Caenorhabditis elegans: one gene and its partners. The protein of the gene in region 4 interacts with the protein of the main gene of each other region in a pairwise test. Each region holds a gene or a part of one and is shown on either strand. Other genes may lie near its edges.

What was found.
Region 1: the proteins of arrd-24 (region 4) and Y55F3BR.2 interact in a two-hybrid assay, tested with the Caenorhabditis elegans proteins (one large-scale study listed by BioGRID).
Region 2: the proteins of arrd-24 (region 4) and M03F4.6 interact in a two-hybrid assay, tested with the Caenorhabditis elegans proteins (one large-scale study listed by BioGRID).
Region 3: the proteins of arrd-24 (region 4) and T21B6.3 interact in a two-hybrid assay, tested with the Caenorhabditis elegans proteins (one large-scale study listed by BioGRID).

The regions. Positions count from the first base shown.
Region 1 is NC_003282.8:856,973-861,968, reverse strand, and holds the start of Y55F3BR.2 (BPTI/Kunitz inhibitor domain-containing protein), read right to left. Parts: upstream 3,040-4,996; 5' UTR 3,038-3,039; coding exon 2,989-3,037; intron 2,939-2,988; coding exon 2,815-2,938; intron 2,190-2,814; coding exon 2,035-2,189; intron 1,842-2,034; coding exon 1,719-1,841; intron 1,194-1,718; coding exon 1,070-1,193; intron 1,020-1,069; coding exon 910-1,019; intron 863-909; coding exon 750-862; intron 1-749.
Region 2 is NC_003284.9:4,963,889-4,971,272, forward strand, and holds M03F4.6 (EB domain-containing protein), read right to left. Parts: upstream 5,441-7,384; 5' UTR 5,434-5,440; coding exon 5,352-5,433; intron 4,372-5,351; coding exon 4,234-4,371; intron 4,108-4,233; coding exon 3,994-4,107; intron 3,944-3,993; coding exon 3,862-3,943; intron 3,313-3,861; coding exon 3,221-3,312; intron 3,174-3,220; coding exon 2,909-3,173; intron 2,865-2,908; coding exon 2,750-2,864; intron 2,461-2,749; coding exon 2,395-2,460; intron 2,342-2,394; coding exon 2,261-2,341; intron 2,216-2,260; coding exon 2,114-2,215; intron 723-2,113; coding exon 618-722; 3' UTR 525-617; downstream 1-524. Other genes in the region: act-4 (Actin-4), read left to right, coding at 1-96; calu-1 (Reticulocalbin-3), read right to left, coding at 5,905-6,105, 6,157-6,703, 6,756-6,859, 6,915-7,007.
Region 3 is NC_003284.9:10,944,652-10,950,931, forward strand, and holds T21B6.3 (Apple domain-containing protein), read right to left. Parts: upstream 4,302-6,280; 5' UTR 4,252-4,301; coding exon 4,194-4,251; intron 4,019-4,193; coding exon 3,938-4,018; intron 3,674-3,937; exon of another isoform or gene 3,610-3,673; intron 3,594-3,609; coding exon 3,507-3,593; intron 3,255-3,506; coding exon 3,027-3,254; intron 2,980-3,026; coding exon 1,262-2,979; intron 1,213-1,261; coding exon 1,082-1,212; intron 1,033-1,081; coding exon 976-1,032; intron 922-975; coding exon 816-921; 3' UTR 509-815; downstream 1-508. Other genes in the region: K09C8.7 (uncharacterized protein), read right to left, coding at 6,206-6,280.
Region 4 is NC_003284.9:13,978,531-13,982,214, reverse strand, and holds arrd-24 (Arrestin C-terminal-like domain-containing protein), read left to right. Parts: upstream 1-1,697; 5' UTR 1,698-1,708; coding exon 1,709-1,890; intron 1,891-1,934; coding exon 1,935-2,040; intron 2,041-2,134; coding exon 2,135-2,297; intron 2,298-2,340; coding exon 2,341-2,450; intron 2,451-2,495; coding exon 2,496-2,975; 3' UTR 2,976-3,146; downstream 3,147-3,684. Other genes in the region: F48F7.6 (Zf-C4pol domain-containing protein), read right to left, coding at 3,435-3,684.

The DNA of each region.
Region 1 (4,996 bases), on a different chromosome or scaffold from region 4:
ATCGTCGGGGATACTGTAGTTTTCGTGGTGGGACCCAATTTTGAGTAAGCATTTTTATACTTCTCATGAATCAGCTTTGTTTAACTAAAGTACAAAAGAGTCACTCAAGTGGAAAATTGAGAAAACTAGAAAAATTAAAAAAAAACATTTTGGAAATATTTTTTAATTTTTTGAAAATTCGCAAATTCTCCGTTTTTTTTTCAAATTTTGTTACAAAATTAACAATCGGCATGCTAAGAGCTTCAGCTTAAGTATAAACATGACTAGGTTCTCACAATTTTTTGGTCCCGCCAGGAAAACTACAGTAACCCGAGACTTTCGTGGTGGGACCCGAAATTGCTTTATTTGGAGCTAGATAGGCTATGGTTATACTTAAATTGAAGCTCGCGATGAGCAGAGCATTATTTTTGCATTTAAAATTAAAAATTGAGAAAATTGCGAAAAATCTTTGAATTTGGGTTTTCTTTGGAAATTTCGAAAAAAAAACAGTTGCAAATTTTTTTTTCAAAAAATCACAAATATGAATCCTACTTGTTTTATTGCGGTCCAGCTCGCCAAGAGCTTCAAAATAAGTATAATCATGACATACTTTCCTTCGGTTTGGGTCTCGCCACGAAAACTACAGTAACCCCGGTGAAATTCGTGGTGGGACCCGAAATTGTTCGGAACCTAGTCATGATTATACTTAAATTGAAGCTCCTGGCGTGCTCTATTTGGATTTTCACTCCAAACTCAAAAAAAAAACTCACGAATCCCCGAACCGAGCACTTGAAGTCGTGCTGTTTGCCCAAAAGGTCCTCCTCTCGTTTTGGAGTGTCCGAGCTGTGCGGGTTGCACGGAGCAATTGTTACACTGGTTTTACCTGAAATTTAATGTACTGAAAATTCTGAAAATTATCCTGAAACTTACCAGCAGCCGCTGGAAGAACCACCAAACTCGACGGCGAGTCCGGAGGCGGGAGGGAAGGCAGCGGGCAGGATGGCTCGGAGCTTGTGGACCACACGCAGAGGGTACCGTCTCTGGAAATGGTTAAGGTTAGTCATCTGGGCTCACGGAGCATGAAACCAACTTGGTCTTAACTGCGATCATATCCTCCGACGGGCACATACATTGTCCGTTTTTACAGTAGGAATCTGGCCAGACCGATGCGCATTGGGTATCGTAGAAGCACCCGGAATCGGATGGCGAGATTTCTGAAAATGTAGGTACAAGTTAGTACCTATGCCTATTCCTACCTGCCTACCCATCTACCTATTTGCCTACTTAATTCGACAGGAATTGTATAGGCAGAGTTTAATTAGGCAAATGTGAGAAGCAGGCATGATGCAGGCTTAACGCAGGCATACGGTAGCCCAGAAGCTAGGCAGGCTTTCGATAGGTCCGATGTAGGCACAAGCTAGGCATGGGATATGCTTAAAATATACACAAACTAGACTCAAAGTAGCCATGGGTAGGTGAAAGGTAGGCATGAGCTCGGCACAAAATAGGCAGGATGTAGGCGTAAAGTAGGCTAGATGTATTCACGTAAGCTTCAAGAAGTAACCTTGGCTAGGCAACGGTGAAGGTAGGCATGTAGACAAGTGGGCAAAATGTAGGCATAGGGTAGGCACAGAATAGGCAAGATATAGTCCCGCAGACTTTGGCCATGCTTATCTATATGCAAGTAGCCATAAGGTAGGCACAAGGTAGGCAGGATGTAGGCACGTAGGCAAACTTACTTTCATAACAATAAGCATCGACAGCGACATAAGTCGATAGACATCTACATTGACCAATTGCACAGAACATTCCGCCAAGGCAATCTGTGTTAAAGGAACATACGTCTCCAACCCGACCGGATCCTAAAAAAAATTAAAATATGTAAAAATTCCAATGATTTTTTTTTCAGTTTTTTCAACTTTTTTGTTTTAACTACCAAATTCGTATTCTACTCACTCTCGGTAAGCTGAATCATTATAAAACAATTAGAATTCATAATTAAAAACTTTTTGAAAAAAAATTCCGACATTTTTGTTCTCTCTAAAAAAAGCTTACCAGAAGTCCCCTGTGAGTGGAAAACCTGCATAGCCGGATCCACACAATCCCGGGTACTCAGACTGAAATGCACCCGTCCATCCTCTGAGCAAATCTCCTGCTTCCAGGTACCATTTGTGCACGTCAAATAGGAACTGTGTTCGATATCGATTTTTCTGGAAAGTTAAATATTGATATGGAATGAACTCAAATTTTCAGAAAAATTGAGTTGTTTCACGAATTTTCAGTTAGAAATTCAAATTTCTCATAGCTCAATTAGTACACTCCTAACTTTTCAGAACACTAGCTCAAAATCCTGTCAAGTTTGGTTGATTGGAATACGGTAGTCGGTGTTTGCGGACTTTTGGAGCTACAGTAACCCGGAAATTTTCAATATTGAGCTACCGGGGTCTAGTTTTTTGTGTTCGAGTCCAATTTTTGCAAAGATTTCAAATTTTAACATAACATTTTCGACATACAAACTCGAAGATAATTTTCACCCGTCTCCTTGGCAAAATTAATCATAACTGAAGTTCAAAAATTTTTCCACAAATTTTTTGTTAAAAATTGGAATTCTCTATAGTTCATTAGTAAACTCCGAAATTTTTAGAGCTCCAGCTCAAAAGCTTGTCAAGTTCAGTGTTTGAGTACTTTGGCGCTGCATGCAGTAGCCCGGAAAAGTTTTAAAATTGAGCTAGAGAGAATTCTAGTTTTTTGAGCTTTGGCCCAAAATTTTAAGGAAACTCTGAATTCGAACTTTGTATACGTCGTTGGAGTACTGTAGTCTACGAAAAAACTCACTTTGTCCTTGGATTACAAAAAAGAAAGGCTTCTTTGACATCTTGGCTTATTTCACATTTTGTTGAGAGCTCTGCTTTTAGGCTGCAGTTTGAGCAAATTTCATTGATTTGGCATTCTGGGAGAGCTGGAAATTTGATTTTCAACAATTTCTCAGCTCAAAGAGTTGGTACTCACCCTCAGAAGCTCCCAGGGCACCCCATATTAACAGTAGGTACGGTATCATACCTGAAAAGTTTTTGGAATGAATTTTAAAGAAGAGTATTTGAGAAATAAAGAAGTTAGAAGTTGAAGTATGCGGCCGACATCTCACGGTTTTCTAGGCCCTATTTTTGGAACCGCCAGATGTCAGCCGCTCTAACTTTGTTTAGGGCAAAGCTAGAAAAAAGTTGTCAACTACGAAATTTTTTAGTGCAATATCAGTTATATTTTTTTATTTAAAAAACGCTATTACACTTGCTGTGAACAAAGTTAGAGCGGCCGACATCTCACAGGTGTCTATAATGCCAACCCGCTATGTGTCGGCTGCTAGGACTCCTTTCAGAGTGGAGCTATAAAAAAATTTTTCACTTACAAAACCGTCTAACTTAATACCGTCTACATTTTTGTTGTTGACAATATTTTTCTAGCTTTGCCCTGGAAAAAGTTAAAGCGGCCGACACTTTATAGGTTTGCCTTTTTTTGTTCTTTTTTTCTAATTGCGCGGGATATAACTTAAAATATGGAAGTAAATAATGAATATAACCACGATATTTGTACATTTGAATGACCGCTATCAATTACTTTCATAAATGAAAAGCAAACACGGAGCTCTAAAGGGTCAACGCGTGAAAAATCACACTTGAAAGTTAGCGGTGCGGTGCTTGTTGAAAAACACTTGAAATTTTGGGGTTTTATTGACAAAAGTGTGGAAAGTGAGAAGAAGTTTTGATTTTTCTGTAGAAAAACTTGCTCACCTGGCTGGTCCGGAATCTAGACCAGTGAGGTGTCGGCGGCGCTCATTTCAGGAGCCAGCTATAGAAAAGTTGTCAACTATAAAAATTCAGTTATGCAGTGAACAACTTTTTTCCAGCTCTTTACTTGAAAATGTTACAGCGGCCGACACCTTCCGGGCAGTGGCCCAAAAGAAACCTACGAAGTGTCGGCCACTGTAACTTTTTTCAGGGCTGAGCTTGAAAATTTTTTAACCACACAAATGTAGATAGTGTTATATATTAAACAGTTTTGAGAGTTACAGCGGCCGACACATCGCTGGCCCAGACAGGCAGCGTCCCAAATGAAACCAGTGAGGTGTCGGTCGCTGCAATTTTTTCATAGCGGAGCTAGAAAAGAATTGTCAACTACAATAATTTAGATAATAATATATTTAAAAGTTTTGCAGTTGACAGTTTTTTAAAGCTGTTCCTTGGAAAATGTTACAGCGGCCGACACTTTGCGGGCACAGACAGACTCGTCCCAAAAGGCCGTTTCAGGTGTGAGCTAGAGAACGTTATTAACTACAAAAATGTTTTTAAAGCTTTGAAAGTGACAGCGGCTGACACTTCGCTGGCCCAAACTGGAAACCTGCGAAGTGTCGGCCCGGCCGCTGTAATTTTTTTCAGAGCAACTCTAGAAAAAAGCTGTGAACAACAAAAATGTTGATAAGAATATACTTATGTTAACACTATTAGTTTCAAATTTAAAAAATTATCAATTATTTAATCGGTCAGATCAAAAAGTGCAGAAAGACGGGAAATTAAAACTGAATGGGGTCGGCTACGGCGGCGGCGGCTCATTTTCAATTACCTCATCTCATCTCCCACCCACTTCTGAAATACACGATCCTGCTGTCCCCCAGTGTGAATAGCCGATCTCTCGTCGCCTTACACTCTCAATATCCCACACTATTTCTCGATTACGTGCTCAAATAGTATCGGAACGGGCGAGAGGGATATATATCTTTATGGGTAAACAAACTGAACAGTTCGAGCTTCTTCATCTTTTTCGAAGCTCCTTGACCAAATAGTATACGGCGGCGGGGAAATGTGTCAAGAGTGTTCGCGCCTTGGACGCCTTTTTTTTGGAGGTTTTGTTCCGATCGTACTGGAAAAACATTGAGGATTGGTCAAAATTGAAGGGGATCTTACGATTGTTTCACGAAAAAGTCCTAAATCACTATGCAAGAGTACTCAGGAATTTCACTTCA
Region 2 (7,384 bases), 9.0 Mb from region 4:
ATCCTCGCCTCCCTCTCCACCTTCCAACAGATGTGGATCTCCAAGCAAGAGTACGACGAGTCCGGCCCATCGATTGTCCACCGCAAGTGCTTCTAAATTTTTTGCCCCTTCCACCCACAACGCTCAAAAGAAGTTCGTATTATCCCGCAACCCATCCAGACCATCCTTTTACATTTTTTTTATTTTCTCTTTTTTTTTTCTTCACCCTCTCCGTGTACATTGCTAGTAATAGTTCCAACTTCTCTAGCCGACTGCATTATGCTTCCCATTCTCACCCAAATCTTCATTGGTAACTTCTCTTGTATTTGTTCAATACTATTCCGGTAGTAATCTAGGCATGTATAACTAGGTTCTCTGTGTATCTTTGGTTTGAAGTTGAGGTTTAATGCAATCACTTTTGTTGTTGTACCCTATTACTGCCGATGACCCCCATTTTCTCATTACAAAATTGACATTTTAAACCATTTTTTCTCTGAATCATGCTCATTATTTGAGCCACATTCATAATAAAGCTTTTAATAAGACAAATTGATCAAGTTTATCTAATGTAAAAAATACAAATAAAGAAAATTCAACCCGGAGGAGAGATGAAGTGAGTAGCTGTTACGGAACACAGATTATTTGCCTTGTTTGTTTCCGAAGATGTCTCCGACGCGGTCCAAAATTGAGCCAATACTGAGCGGATCATCTGGATTTGTGCAACGGACTCCTAGTAGTTGATCCTGTAATTTAGAAGGTGAGTTTTTTTAAACTAAAACAACAAATCTTAGAAAAATATGTTGTTTTTTGAGTTTAAAATAAGAATTGAACACAAAATGTACAACAAAAATTAAAAAAATTCATGGAATTCTTGATCCGCTTTTATGATTAGTGTCTCATTTTGTTTTACTCAAGTATGTTATTAAAAATATATCATACAATGTTTGAAAAAATATTTTTAACGGAAAAAAACAGGATATGGACGCAGCCTATTATTCATTTTCTACAAGTCGAAACATTGCCACATGAATATAGCATTTTTATAAAATAAATAAGGTATCTAATTAAAGTGAATCACAAATACAAAAAATCAATAATTGGTTCTGCCCGTGTCTTGGCTTTCCATATGTTTTGTCATTAAATTTTCTTTGGCTCCTAGTATTTTATTTTTGTTCTTGATTCCTAGGGGGTCCATGATTGAAAAATAAAAAATCAGACAAGAAATCCCAGACGCGCATGTGTGGAAATTACTAAAAATTAAAGTACATTTTGAATGTGAATAATATGTATTGAAAATTTGAAAAAATCTCTTAAAAATTTGGAAAACCAGCTCAAAAATTGTAGTTTAAGACTGAATTTTCGCGCAGATTTTTTTGTTTCTAGATTGTTTTTAAAAAAGTTAGCTTTGGTTTACAATTGTTCACAAAGTTTTTTTTTTTAAATATATGTCTCAAAAAATTCCTAATCTATAGAAAATGAAGAAAATAAACATAAGTTCCTTTGCGAAAACTTTATTTATGGCAGTGGCAGTGTCAGTAATTTCCCCACATCTACTACTTTTTCTGTGTTCAAAATTACAGTATGACCTGTAAAATTTTACAATCCGAATCGTATGAGAATTTTTTTTTGAACTAAAACAAAGTTTTCAAAGTTCAATGTTCCAGAAAGCTTGGAATTGGAATTCATTTAATTTTCAATTGAACCTTTGAAAAGTCCAACATCCGTCTCTTTGTTTCCTGCCTCAATATCATCAGATATTCATAAATCTTTTTTTTTCGCTGCGAAACCTTTCCCCCCTCCTCCTCCTTCTTTTATTGTTGGTAAGAATCAATCATATCCAGCGGCTCTTTCTATTGAAATGCATCGAAACGCTTGGAATGATTGATGATTGAGAATTTTGAAATTGTATGACAGAACGTTCTAGTGGTGGTGCTGATTTTTGATTGTTTTGCCTCTATTGGAGAAGTAGAAGTGGAAGAGAAGGGAAGAGGAAAGGATGAGTGATGATGCAAATTTGTGGAGCTCCTTGGCATTGTAACATTACGATAAGAAGCTGCGGACCTCCCTCCCTTCTCCAACAATTCACAAATGAAACAATAAAACAAAAGGCCCCGGGAACCACGATCTGACTCACTTTGACTTGTTTGTACCCGCATCTACATTGACAGGTTCCAAAGCGACATTCTGCTGATTGAATGCACTGCTTGTTCGAATAGCAGCGGGCACCGAGTTGTACCTGAAAATCAAAAAATTACACAAAAAAATCTGGCAATTTTCTCACTTTTGCCAGGCATCTATCGTTACTAGCGACTTCTTCGAGGGTACAGTCTTTGGTGCACGTTAAGAATCTCTCGTCGTTATTCTGGAATAATTTGTGATTTTTGGGAATTTGAGAAAAAACAATTTGCTGCGAACCTCGTGATATCCAAGTTTGCATTGACAAGAGCCTAGCGTGCAGGACATTGTGATTCCTCCCTCGCACTGAAAATTCAAAATTTAGATGAAAATATGATATTTGTAGTATACATATTTTTAAAAAATATATAAAAAATATAAAATGTATATAAATATAAAATGCTTTTGCTGAAATTCGGCTTCTCATACAATTTCTCAACAATTTTTAAGCTTCAATAGACTAACTATGGTTGTAAAATACAGTGTTTCAGACTCCTCAAACATTTTTTGCATCCTTTTCAGAAGTTTGGTTGTGTAGCTTGGTTTTTAAAGCCATTTAAAAACCGTTATTCCTCCTTTGAGCATGTTCACCAACCTGCTGATCAATTTGACAAGGATCACCTCTATGAGCAATTGAAAGGCACTGTCCGTTCACATAGAGGGGTGTCGGATCACGACATGGTCTGGGACAACACAGCGACGATTTCCATCTGAATACAAACTCTAGAAACATTTTCCACCCCTCTCAACATACCCTGGCTCACTGACAGTGAAGCAGAAGTGAGTGAGTGGTCTGCATTTTGAGTCTGGAGATGCTCCCGCGTCACACGACTGACTCAAATCCGGCTCTCCATATGGACACCGTAGCCGACAACAATGACCCACATATGGGCTGCCATACGTGACGCATCGATAGCCTAATGGGCAGCTATCGGTGTTGGCGGCGTTCTCAAGCATATCAATGTCGTTGATGAACAGCCGACGGCATGTTTGACGAGGATGCATCCCATCGGGACATGCTGAAATGAATTGGGAATTGGCTTTGTGTAGGGTAGAATTGACCAACTAGCGTGACAGAATCCCCGTTCAGTATCTCTCGTTGTTCCAGGAGCACACAAACATGTTCCAGCAATGCAGGCGTTAAATGGGTCGACGCATCTGTAAATGAATAGATGAAGTAGCGTCATTGATATTTATACCTAAATACACTCTGAAACTTTTCAAAATAGTTTTTTTTTTCAATTTTCAAATGCCGACCAGTAATCCTACAAAATCAGTCAGAGCCGCAAGTTCTCCCAATGTTTTTCATCAAAATTTAGTAGAAGACTATAAAACATAGTTTTCATATCAATTCAAGCAACAGGAAAAATGCTCAAAAATTGTCTGAAAGTTGGGATTTTCAGTGCAATAATTTGTGGGATTTTTTTCAGTCAGTTTACATTTTTCTAACAATTTCTAAGCGTCTTTCGAACTATTTCAACTAAAATAAAAAATAATTTTCAACTGAATTAAATATTTAGACTTACTCGATCACTAAATTTTGAAGAAAAATATTAACATAATCCCACTCTTGCTTTTCTTTTTGTAGAACACCCCCTGCTTCAATTCAAGTAATTTGCCAGTTTTTCATGTTTTAGACCAATTCTAGTTGACCTTCACAATTTCAATATCTAGGTATATTGTTTTATAACTATTTTTCTCACTCACTGGCTGTCTTTCTCACACGGTTGCTGATAATGGGCAACACGAGTGCATTCGACGCCATAAAGCTGCTGACCAACTGGACACACTGAAAATCCACTCATCCTTCACAAATCTTTAGACATCAGCTTCACTTACGAACAACGCATTTTCCGTCAACAATACTACCACCCCAGCACTCGCATTTACCATCTCTGCACAATAAGGGAGGCTTGCAATCGCGTTGACAGGAATCTCCGATTTTGGCGGGTGCTGAAAGCAAAAGCTAATTTATACAACAAGAGGCAAAAGACCGGTTCGGTTCGGTGAATCATTTGAGAACTGTAAGAAGTCTAAAACCAAAGAGACAAAAAAAAACGAGGAAAATTATGATGTCACCTAATCGGCAAATTGTCGTTCGTTCATCGATGTCGTATTCTTCAAAGTTTGTGGGGCAGGTACATCGGGAGTTTCTGCACACTGAGTTCATTCCATAGCATTCTTCATCAAATAGGCAGTCACTTCCAATAAGCTTTTCTGAAAAAAATAAACATATTTTTGTTGAAGTGTGGGGGACTGAGAAAACTGCTTTCCTATCTATAAATTATGATAGTTCAATCATATTAAAGGTTACGTAGTATAATCTAGCATGGCCAAATATCATGATAAAAAACTTCTAAAAGATTTTGAATTGTTCAAAATTTTTGATCAAAGTTTCCAAAAATGTGAACTTTTTGAGTAAATTTAAGAATTGCTACAGATTGAATATCCTGGGTAAGAATATAAAACTCGTAGGAAAATAATTTAAATGTAATTTTGAAAAAATCAAAACATTTTTGGAAAGTTTTACTATGACATTTGGGCATTGTACAACTGAAGGAGCGGCTTTTTAACGACTGATGTTTTTTTTTGAATATTCGAAAGCTTTTGATTCATGTTTTCGAGCCTAATTGCATTGTTAAATTATTAATTTCTAGGTTAAAAAAAAACAGCTCTAAACTAAACAAAAAAAAAAGACATTTTCAGACACTTCCTGAAGATTTTTCATTTCCATCATTTCAGTGCAATTTAGAGTTTTCTTTTAGTCTGGTAAACTAGCTGATTGGCTTGAATTTCAATTTATTTGAAGCCAATTTTGAATTTTTCAACGAATTCACTAAATCAATAGAACAACATGTAACCATTGTTATGTCAAATGACCTTAAAAATTTGCAAGTTGTTTTTACAGTTCAAGAGTACTTTTCAAAAACTACATACACTGCCTTCAAACAAAAATAAGCCATGATACAATTTGGAAATATTAAATAGAAATTCTGAAAATAAGCGATTTTAGGATTTCAAAACTTTATTATTTCGTTATTTAATTGTAATAAAGTTAGAATTTTTCTGAAATTTTCACAAATTATAGGCATTATTCAAATATATAATAAGAAAAATTTTCAATTCCAAGAACCAGTATACATGTATTAGCTCAATGTTTCATACAACTACGATATAAAACATTCAAATTGACTCACGTGCACACGGAACATCGAACGCTAAAGCTAATCGATCAATAATCAGAAACAAGAATAACACTTGGATGAATGGGCTATGCATTACTATGGCGAAGAAAAATTAGGACAGAACCGATTTGAAGATTTCCCTGCGGAAAGAGAGACAGAGATGCGACTATGAAAGGAAAATCATCAAGGGGTCAACACCGTCATGATCGTCGCCACGTCCGCTGTGCGAAGACATGGCGAAGTCGTACACATTTGACACACTAAATTATTTCATTAACCTTCCGTTGTTCTGTAAGGAATTGGATTTTTGAATGCATAAACTTTTATTTGTTGATAATTATTAAAACCAGTAAAATTCGAAAAATCCGAAAAATTCAAAAATGCATGCGCTTGAAAATTATATACTTATGACATTGAAAAAGGCAAACAATAATGAGATAAATAAGAACAGTGAACATTTTTTGTTAAGTAAGAATGAGTTTCGAAGACCAGTCACACATTATTATTACTAACAGATCTCAAATGAGAATTTTCGCGTAATACTGTTTGGAGAAAAACAAAAATTTTAGAGCTCGGCTGGGTCGTGTTTCTGGAGTTGCTCTCCGTAGTCGGTGGCCTGGGATCCGACGAATGTGTCGTAGTGGGCGACGATTTCATCGAGATTCAGTTTTCCGTCTTTGTTGTCATCGGCGATTCCAACCAAGTGACGAGCCTCAGCCTCGGCGTGGTCGAATCCAACTGGCATAATCCAATCGCGCATCTCCTCCTGAAATATAATCATTATTAATTAGACATCATATTATAGACATTATTATACCTGATTGAGTTTTCCATCTCCGTCCTTGTCTCTGTGCTCCTTGAACATTTCGCGCTCAGATTGAACCCAGTCTGGTTCTTTTCCATTCAACTCTGGGTAATCATCTGGTCTATACATATCTCCAATGTACTCATCAAGATCCACAGATCCGTCCTTGTTCTTATCAATATCATCGACAGTCTCGGCGACGACAACGTCTCTCATGTGATCACAGTCTTCTGGATGCATGAAGCAACCGTATTCGGTTCTGTCGAGGGCTCCGTTTGAGTCGTAGTCGGCAACAGCCCATCTCTTCTCGTCACGTGCGATCATTTTAGCGTATTCTGGAGAAAGCTCCTGGCCAGCTCCGTCAGCAGATCCGTAGACCATCTCTCTGTAGTCTTCCCACTTGATCTTTCCGTCGACAATCTTCTCGGCCTTGTAGTTCTTCCAGGTACGGTCCACGTCGTTGTTGACGTATCTCTTTTGCATGAAGTTGATGTGATCCTTGAGCTCGTTCTCCTCGATGAAGCCATCGCTGTCAGCATCCATCTTTGGAACGAGCTTGCTGAAAATAATAGACGTTGATTTGAAGGTCATGAGACTTTAAAAGAACATACGCAAGCTTCTCCTTTGACTTTTCTGGTGTTAATTCATCAAATTCAGCAGCGGTGTCTTTTCCGAGGAACTGCTCGTGATCGTACTTCTTGTCATGTTCCTTTCCCTAAAAATAACAGAACAGATATTTGTAAAAGATTATGCGTAAAACTGCAAATTACCTTGAAATGTTCACCATCTTTCGATGGATCGGATGAGTGATGGGAAGCAAGCGCGGTGGCTGCGAGGAGACCAACGAAGAGAAGAACCTTCATGTCCAGATCCTACTACCTGAAATTAAAAATAAATCATTTTTGAAACAAAAACAATTGAGAATACAAAACATAGGATAAGTGTGTACTAATTAACAATTACGATGTGAAGTGGGGAATACTGACGGCTCTTTAAAAGGATATACATAAATAGGTCAAGCAATCGGGAACACTTTTTATGCACCGTCTAGCGATTGTCTGAAGGCAGAAAGATGGAAGACAGCCCAAAACTACGGACAGACGCCCGATTGGAAGGAGTGAGTTGGCCTGCTTGCGAACTGTCAATCTCACCCGCCAGTGTTGACAGTTTCTCAATACCTCATATTGCTGCTCACGCAAACAAATTCGATGCCTATACGTTAGCCAGAGGCTACTCTTAT
Region 3 (6,280 bases), 3.0 Mb from region 4:
TAAAGAAACTATTATAGGAATCGGAAACTCTGACACATCCTTCAAGATCTACATGGAAAGTAAGATGTGCCACAAATGAAGATGTCGAGGAAAAGGATTTTGTTCTTGAAGGATTTTGACGATGGCAACAAGAAATATTGGGTATTGCACCCTTGTAGTACAACGAGTACATATGTTCTATCATGTTTAATCAATGAGTTGTATGAATCTCCTAGAAGGGGGAGATAATTTAGATAATGGAGGGGTGCATATACTACATAACAATTAAAAATAGCATTGATCCCATGTTATCTTCTGCTGACAGTCTAAACAACTGATAATTGTATACCTGCATCTGATTCTATTTTTAGTTTTACCTATAAATCAGCAAACTTGGTTAATAAATACCAATATACTTTAATGAAAATTCGTGTTAAGGAGTGGTTTTCTGAAACTGTACAACACTTTGATTGAAAGCTTGTTTGAATGTTAACTGGCTTGTATGTTTTGATGTTATATTCAATGGGCTGTGAAACAACTTTATTGTAGAATTTAAGAATAAAAATTTAAACCACATTGAAAATGCAAATTATGGCAGTGAATGCTATTAAAACATAAATTTCAAAGATAAAACAAACTTTAATTTAACCTATCGTTGAAAGGCATTTGCATAATGGAAGACGTGAAAAATACAATTAATTGACTAGATATAGAGATTCGACTATTTGAGGCGGTGTTGTATGAAAGTATTGAATATAAGTACAAATTGAAAAACATAAATATGAAAGAAATGGGCGATGTAACCCTGTCTGACTGATTTTTTTTAACACAAAAAATTAGCATGGTGGCTTTGGTGGGCACTGAGTCAATCCACGGCATTGCTGGGATTCTTCGGCAAGACCGATGCAGTGACATCCGGATTCTCCAACACATTGACGGCTTCTGTAAGATATAATTCAGATTCTTAACATGTCTTCATCAAAAACTATTTCAGACCTAGATTGTACTCCAACTTCGCATGCAAGTTGTGTTGAGCATGGACTCCATTCGCACCTGGACATTTGAAAAAACTAATTAATACCAATGTAACAGTTTTAACTACCAAGTATTCCAAGCGCATTGAGGAGCACATGACTGACTGTTACATTCCTTTTCTTCACGATCTGGTCCATCGCAGTGGCATGATGAATCCGGACTTCCAGCGCTGTTCAAACATGTACGAGTGCGAATTGACTGTAATTCATTATTACCCCGTTCTGAACATATATTCAATATATCTCACCTGACCACCCCCGCATTCCTTGTCGCACATGGACCAGTGACACCACTCAGACCAGTTGCAGCAAGATTGCCCTTCGCAAAGGGTAGTTTCAATACTTGGTCCTTGGCAAGTAGTGGCTTCTTGCCCGTTTGGTCCAAGGCACCCACGAGTTCTAGTCCGTTGTCCGGGTCCGCACTTTGAAGAGCATCCTGACCACTCGCACCACTCTGTCCACTCGGCACATGGAGGTCCGTAGCAGAATTGGCTCTCTTCGTTTGGTCCTTGGCAATCAGTTCCAAATTGGCAGACACGTTGTCTCCGCTTCATTCCGCTTCCGCATGAAGCCGAGCATGTAGACCACTCTTGCCATGGAGACCAAAGAGAGCATGGTCCACCATCACAGGCACGTTGTTCAGTCTTTGGTCCTTGACAGAGATGATCACCGAAAACACCTCCGAGACATGTACGCTGACGAACTGCGACTCCTTGTCCGCAAGTCACAGAGCATTGTCCCCAATCTTCCCATTGAGACCATTCTGGGCATGGTCCAGCACTGCATTGCTCAGATTCGTAGTCCTTTCCTTCACATCTGTTTGTACCAAGATGACAGAATCGAGTTCTCTCGCGTTGACCTGATCCACAGCTAGCAGAGCAAGTTGACCACTCGCACCATTCAGACCATGTCTGACATGGGCCAAGATTACATGGCTCAGTCTCATAATCAGCTCCTTGGCAGTTATTGGTGGAGCATTCACGTCTTCTTGATTTAGCTCCATCTCCACAGGTGCATGAGCAGGTAGACCAGTCAGACCAATCATGCCAAACTCCAGAAACAACTGGTGGGTTGACACATCCTTGTCCATCGCATGCTGGCGGTGGTGGGGGAGCTGGACGATATCTGGTTGGGTAGGGCTGTGGAAGTGGTGGCTGAGTGGCAGTGTTGATCACTGGAGCAAGAACTGGCGGTGGTGTTGGGCGTTCTTGTTGTGGGGCCTGTGGAACTGGGGCGCAGAAACCTCCTGGGCATGGATCAGCCTTTGGACGAGCTGGATGTCTCTGATTGAAGTTCTCGCGGTATTGAGACATTCTCTGCTGATAGAGTTGAGCATGTTGATCGAGTGGAGAACGCTCAAGTTCTGGTTGCTGCTGTGGCTGCTGCTGTTGCGGATGTTGTTGTGGAGGGACTGGCCCACTTTGGAGTTGGATTTGAGATTGTCCGAACTGTGTTGTCTGTTGTGGCTGTTGCTGTGGATTTTGTTGACGTTGCTGCTGTTGTTGCTGCTGTTGTTGTTGTTGCTGCTGTTGTTCTCTCTGCCTTTGAAGATGAAGCTCGTGAGTTCCAGAGAAGGACTGTGGCTGTTGTGGTGGTCGCTGTGGTGGCTGTGGCTGTGGTTGTGGCTGTGGCTGTGGTGGACGTTGCTGCTGCTGCTGTTGCTGTTGTTGTTGTTGTTGCTGGTGCTGCTGAAGACGAGCCTGATGTTCTCTGTGTTGTTGTTCTCTTTGTTGCTGTTCCCTTTGCTGCTGCTGTTGCTGTGCACTTGGGTACTCTGGGGCACGTGGCGCATACTGCTGCGCTGGTGGAGCTGGGACTCTTTGTGGAGCAGATCTAGCTGGACATCCACGACGTTGGATTTTTCTTCCGTATTCGCATGCCTGAGAGCGCACCTCGTGTCCGTTACTGGAGCAATGGGACCAATCTGTCCAATCTCCGACTCCTTCAACAGCTTCATCGCCTTGTTCTAAAATCACAACTTTATATAAACCGAAGTAACGATCGAAATCTTACGTCTCTTCTTTCTGTCAACCTTATCGGTAGACGAAGCCAAACCGTCCTCCTCCAGTGGTGGATGAGCATCAAATTGGTGGCAGTCGACGACCAGTTCGAGCATTCTAACAATATCTTTCTTGTTTTCTGGCTTTTGCTCGACAAGGTCAATTTTATCTTGAACCGAGTTGTCGGAGAAGAGGTAGCAGAAATGCTTCTTTGTTTCGTTATGCAAGTAGTAGTAAACCACTGAAAACAAGTTGAACTTTTTTGTGAAGTTAATGTTTTTTTAGTCTTCATGACCCCAAACGCAGAGATCAAATTTCGAAGACGGAGTTTTGCGAATCAAGGAGGGGCAGTGTAAATTTGCAAAAGCAATCAGTTAAAGAAGCAGAAAAAGAGATATTTGCGGATGAGTGTCATTTGTTATAGATATTGCTTGACACATCACATCAATCTTCTTGGGCCGGATAGGATCCGGTGCAAAAATGAAAATTTTACCTGCGGAGCACTCTGGGAAGATGTCCACGCATTTCTTCTGACACTCGTAGGCGGTTGCCTGCATCATCAGCAATGGAGATGATCCTTCTGAAATAATCAAAGTGGTACGTGGACACACACGAAGTTAATGACGGATAATTGATTTATGTTTGTTTTGCTGCAAACACCTAATGCGTGAATTGTCAATAAATGAAACTAAAACAATAATTTATTTTTCATCAATGATTTTAGAAATACTAGTTTTTAGATGACTTGTATCAATTTTTTAGTGAAACGCATATGTTAATTAGAAACCAATAATATTCAAAAGGAAAATAAGATTTTCAGAACAATACAGTTTTTAAAACCTAGAGAAGTTTAATGAATTATAGTGATGAGATAAAATATTAATTTTTCAGGGGAAATGACCTGATGTAATTCAATGAACTTACCAAGAGCAGTGTTGTTGTGCATTCTGGCGCACAAATCATCAATTTTTGTGACATTTTTTCCTCTGGATACCGAGATTCTACCTGAAACTTGTTTTTCTTACACTTGCGTATCAACTTCACTGTTAGTAATACCTTTTGTGTATGACAAGCTTGAGGTTCATGCTTTATTTTTTTACCTATTACACCTTACTTCTCGCCCTCTCATAATGAAAGCTGAACCTCAAACCAGTTTCCATCTATAAACATATATACTCACCTGCGTCGGCTAGGCAGAACAAGACCGCTAAGGCGAATAAGCCTACAGTAGCCTGCATGTTGCGGCTGATAATGGACGGGACCGCGGACACGAGAGTGCACAACAAGTGACTGACGATGATACTGGGCGGAGTCGAGAAACAAGAAGAGAGGTAAGAAAAAGAAGAAGATGAAGAGGAAAAAGAAGAAGAAGAAGCTGAAACATCAGGGAGTGATAAAAAGAATGAGGAAGGGGGTTGAAAATACTACTGTAGTATAGGAAAGAAGAGAGGTATCAACTTTTCTTTCTATTTTTTTTAAGGAAAAATGCTCTACGCTTCTACTCAAACCAAAAGTGAGGCTAAAGATCAAAAAGAGTTGTGCGGTGAGCAGAAAAGTTAGAGAGAAACAGGAAGCAGTAATGGATGCTGAGAACGTTTTCAAATCGAACTCAAAGCCTGCGAGTATGCATTGATTATGATCGAGTCTTGAAGAGTAAAATACTAGACCAAAACAGAAATTATTCAGAATTGAGCAAACCTGTGCGGGTCAGAAAGTCATGTTGCCTTCAGGAAGTAGCAAAGATTAAAAAAAAACAATTAATTTTAAAAAGTATACAAACTTTCAAGTGAAAAAAAAAACAAAATTGCTTTTCTCATAGGTAATCTGTTTGAAATTGGAATTTGTTGTTCCTATTCATATGTCTTTTGGTGTATTAAAACCCCATATCTAAACAAAATAAGTTCTCCTCCCTATGTCGTCACATATCCATCAACTCCACTTTGAGTGATATTTTATCCTCGGCACTTTTCTTCGTTTCACAACACAACACAACATTTCGCACACATTTTTCATCCTCGTTATTTATTGCACAGTTGTTCAATTTAAAATCACTTTGAGGAGGTCCACCGCGGTCATTTGTTGCTCGGAAACTATACTATAATGTTCGAAGATGAGATTGATGACATTCTAGGAATCGACTCAAAAACTCGAAACTTTTGGTTTCTTGACAAACCCATATCATGCGAGCTTTTCGAGGTTGCAAACTTCAGGAAAGCATGCATCCGAAACGTCGAAATTTGAGCGAGCTGCTGACAAGTGCTGATGAACAAATCATATCCTTCGTGTTTTAATAAAAGCTTGGTGGCTGATGTGTCAGGCGAAAAACGAAAAAGAAAAGCAAAGAAAAGATAAGAGCAAGTCAGAAGCGGTATGGGCAACGGAAGCACACGCGACAATTTTTTCCACGAATCAGTGAGAAGCGAAGAAAGAAGAAGTTCAGGTGAAACATGAGATTCTGCTGAGAAGTGAGCAAGACAAGAGCAAAGCAGAGAGTTTGGAATGAAGCAAGTATGAAGATTATATGATTGATAGGCGGTGACTCATTAAGGTGGAATTACAAAAAATGTGAAGAGCTCATTCTTAATCACTACCAGTTGTGGGTGAATAAAATGGAGTTATGGAGACAATAATTTATGATTTAAAATATATCAAATCACTAAAAATTTCACTGTAAGTATTAAAAAAATACATCCAAAACCAGTCGTCTCATTTTGGCAGTTGGGCACATTACAACGCTGAATGCAATTTCAAACTCAATCGAAATTATGCAGCCGTAAGAATCAAAAATACTGTGAGAGAGTACAAATTATCGGAAAGTAATTTTAAAAAACTGCCCCCCCCCCCCCCGAAATTCAATGTGCCACTTCTCTTGGTTTATTCTACTTTCAGTCTCCAATTTAAACAAAAATTAGATTTTACACTCATTTCATATTCTGATTTTTATCCCAGACTGCATGTGACCACGTCACAAGTGTCACTTTTTGATTTTTCCGCAGCATTTTCTTTACGTTCATCATCCCTTAGCGTATCACAAAAATTTATTACACTTATATTACGAATACGCAAATCATATGAGCCAGACATGTGCAACAATGTGGAATGAAAAAATACATACAAATATACAAATACACAGAGGGTCGGGTGAACATTTAAAACTGAAAACCAAACTCAAAATTCAAAAGAAAAACGCATCTAAATCGCAAGACATCGGCAGTCGTATAAAGTGTTGTAGGTGTAACGGAAGTTCATGCACTTGCCAGGGCAATA
Region 4 (3,684 bases):
TCATTCCTCACTATTCTATCATACTGCACTCTTCTGCTTTCTAATAAAGCTCTTCTATTATTATTACAAAATATATAACATTTACTCTCTGGCTTCACCGTATTTTTTACTCTCGGGCTTCACCGTATATTTTACTCTCTGGCTTCACCGTATATTTCCCGAACTTTACCAATAATCTTAGAAAAAAATTGTCTATTCAGGGCCATATCAAGTCTCCCAAAATTCCAAAATTTTTTTTTTGTAATTTCGTCAAGGTATATGCCTGTAAAAAATAATTCGGATACAGAAACCCCTCTAGCGTGGCTTAAATTTAATTTCCAGGTCCCGAACTTTACCAATAATCTTAGAAAAAAATTTTCTATTCAGGGCCATATCAAGTCTCCCAAAATTCCAAAAATTTTTTTTTGTAATTTCGTCAAGGTATATGCCTGTAAAAAATAATTCGGATACAGAAATTCCTCTAGCGGAGTTCAAGCAGAAAAAGTGGATTTTCAGTCATACCTTTTAGTGCACAGTTTGAGAATGACTAAAAACGACCATGCAAAATTAGTAGATTTTCCAATTTTCAAAAATTAGAATCTGGCGTCAAACTAACTTTTTCAAAAATCCTGTAGCCATTTTGTTGCAAATTTTGTGTTCTTTCAGAATTTCGAAACCAAATTCAAAAAAGTGTGAAGCCAGGGAGTAAAATATTCTGTAAAGCCAGAGAGTAAAATATTCTGTGAAGCCAGAGAGTAAAATATACGGTGAAGCCAGAGAGTAAAATATTCTGCGAAGCCAGAGAGTAAAATATTCTGTGAAGCCAGAGAGTAAAATATACGGTGAAGCCAGAGAGTAAAATATACGGTGAAGCCAGAGAGTAAAATATTCTGCGAAGCCAGAGAGTAAAATATTCTGTGAAGCCAGAGAGTAAAATATACGGTGAAGCCAGAGATTAAAATATTCTGTGAAGCCAGAGAGTAAAATATTCTGTGAAGTTAAAGGCATGAAACTAAATACTCAAGATCGTCTTTTGTACATTACACTTCCAATTTAAGACTTACAGTTCCATTTCTTGCACTCCATGCAATCGTTTCTCCAGAGACGTAGTCAACTTCTGCAGAGTAGTGCACAATTTCAGTATAACTTTCCTCTTTTCCTTCACAATTACTAAACTCTTGTATGTCATTAGGTCTAGATGTCTTGGAGCTTACGTTCTGTATCGTCGTTCCCCTTCACTCCACTTCGTATGCGCAGCACCGTGAAAACAGATTTTCAAGAATCGGGCAGTGATTGGCTCGTTGGATCTCAAAACAACCTGCCCAGTAACAGTTTGACCTGGTGCATAACCTCTCGGGCTATCGAACACAATTCCAAAGTGATCCATATGTTCCATATCTAAACTAAAAAGATACAAGGAAATTTAGAATTTTAATTAAGGAAAATGTTGTATGATTATAAAATGAATGAAAACTGATAAAATGAAGTGGTTATCAAATAAATTGCCGTTTTATAATATAAATATGATTTCACAAAAATCAAATAACGCACGGTATAAGACTGATGACGACATTTTACCTCCTGATTACGCGTTTTGAGTCACAATATATTATAAAACGGCAATTTATTTGATAACCACTTCATTTTATCAGTTTTCATTCATTTTATAATCATACAACATTTTCCTTAATTAAAATTCTAAATTTCCTTGTATCTTTTTAGTTTAGATATGGAACATATGGATCACTTTGGAATTGTGTTCGATAGCCCGAGAGGTTATGCACCAGGTCAAACTGTTACTGGGCAGGTTGTTTTGAGATCCAACGAGCCAATCACTGCCCGATTCTTGAAAATCTGTATTCACGGTGCTGCGCATACGAAGTGGAGTGAAGGGGAACGACGATACAGAACGTAAGCTCCAAGACATCTAGACCTAATGACATACAAGAGTTTAGTAATTGTGAAGGAAAAGAGGAAAGTTATACTGAAATTGTGCACTACTCTGCAGAAGTTGACTACGTCTCTGGAGAAACGATTGCATGGAGTGCAAGAAATGGAACTGTAAGTCTTAAATTGGAAGTGTAATGTACAAAAGACGATCTTGAGTATTTAGTTTCATGCATTTAACTGATAACAAACTACAATATTGTTACAGGAAAAACTTCCATCTGGCCACCATGTCTTCCCGTTTGCATTTCCACTCCCGATAGAATGTCCACCTAGTTTTGAAGGTTTCCACGGCCACGTTCGTTATTCCGTGCGAGTTGAGCTTGACAGACCATGGAAGTTCAACAAAAACGAAAGGGAAGACTTCAAAGGTATTTCGAAAATTGTTAATGTGCGCAAAAAGTTATTTTTCAGTTATTCCCAACTTTGACTTGAATCATCTTCCGTTGGGAAATGTTCCTAGAATGATGAAGGATGTGAAGGACATTGGGCAAATATTTAAAAAAGGAATAGTAACAATAACTGTGAGTACAACGCTGCTACATTGATAGGTTATTTAATGCTTTCAGGTAACTATCCCCAAAGCAGGATATGCTCCTGGAGAATACCTGCCAATCACAATCGACATTGACAATGCTTCCAAACGTGCAGCAACGTTTGTGCGAGCTGAACTTCATCAGCACTCGCATTACAATGCTAGCAAAAACCATGGCCTCTTATGCACTCATTCGTCTTACCACGAACATCACAAGGATGAAAGCAAACGTATTGCAGAAGCTCGAAAAAGCATAAAAATTGCTCCAAAAACCGCTGGCCGTGAAATGCTGCGGATGAAAATCCCAAAGTCGCCACCAACATTTACAAGTCCCATTATCAGCATTGAGTATTGTCTTTCTGTGAGGTTGGACACTTTAACAACCCTTAATAATACATTGCACTGCGAGTTTGATATCATCATCGGCACAGTGCCAATAACTGAATCGATCGTGGAGCCAACGGTAACTACCTTTCCGTCTGATCCACCTGTCCTTGAGCGGCTGGATTCCTAACCTCCAGCCTATTCAACTGTGGTTCCAAGTGCTCCGACCGATGATACAGCGGGAACATCCGCTCTACCGCCGTCTTATGAGGAATCAATGTGTGTAACTAAAATTTAATTGGGTATTTTATTTTATTTTTTCTTGTATAATTGTGAATTAATAAAATTCTGGCCATTTACATTAGTCAATCAATTTTCTTTCTCTATTGCTAAACATTGAGTTTCAAAAATATTCATTTGGCAAAAAATAAGGTAGGGTAGATTCAAAAAACTATAAGGATGAATTGTAAATTACAAGTTTATTACAATCAACAGATAAGTTTAAAAAAAAACATTTCAGAAAATAATATGAGGAGTAGTGATATTCGAGATTGACGGTGAATTTTTATAGACAATTTTACAGGATTTTTTTGTGAGCCACTTTTTGTGCAGTAGTGAAACAAGATAACAGTGCAACGACGACAGCAACTTATTCTAAAAGATAGGAAATGTGAGTGGTTGTCCGGCCATAGACATTTGGACAATCTGCTTTAACAAAGACAGTACGTTGAGCAAGGCAGAAACGCTCAATAATTTCCGATTTCTTGGCCACAAGTTTGGCGGCAAGTCTTTGGCGAACACCTTTATTGTCTTCCTCTGCGTGTTTGTATTCAGATCTTTGCATTCGACGAGCTTTACGTCCTTGCTTTGCCAGAATGTGCTCAACCTCCTCTTCTGAT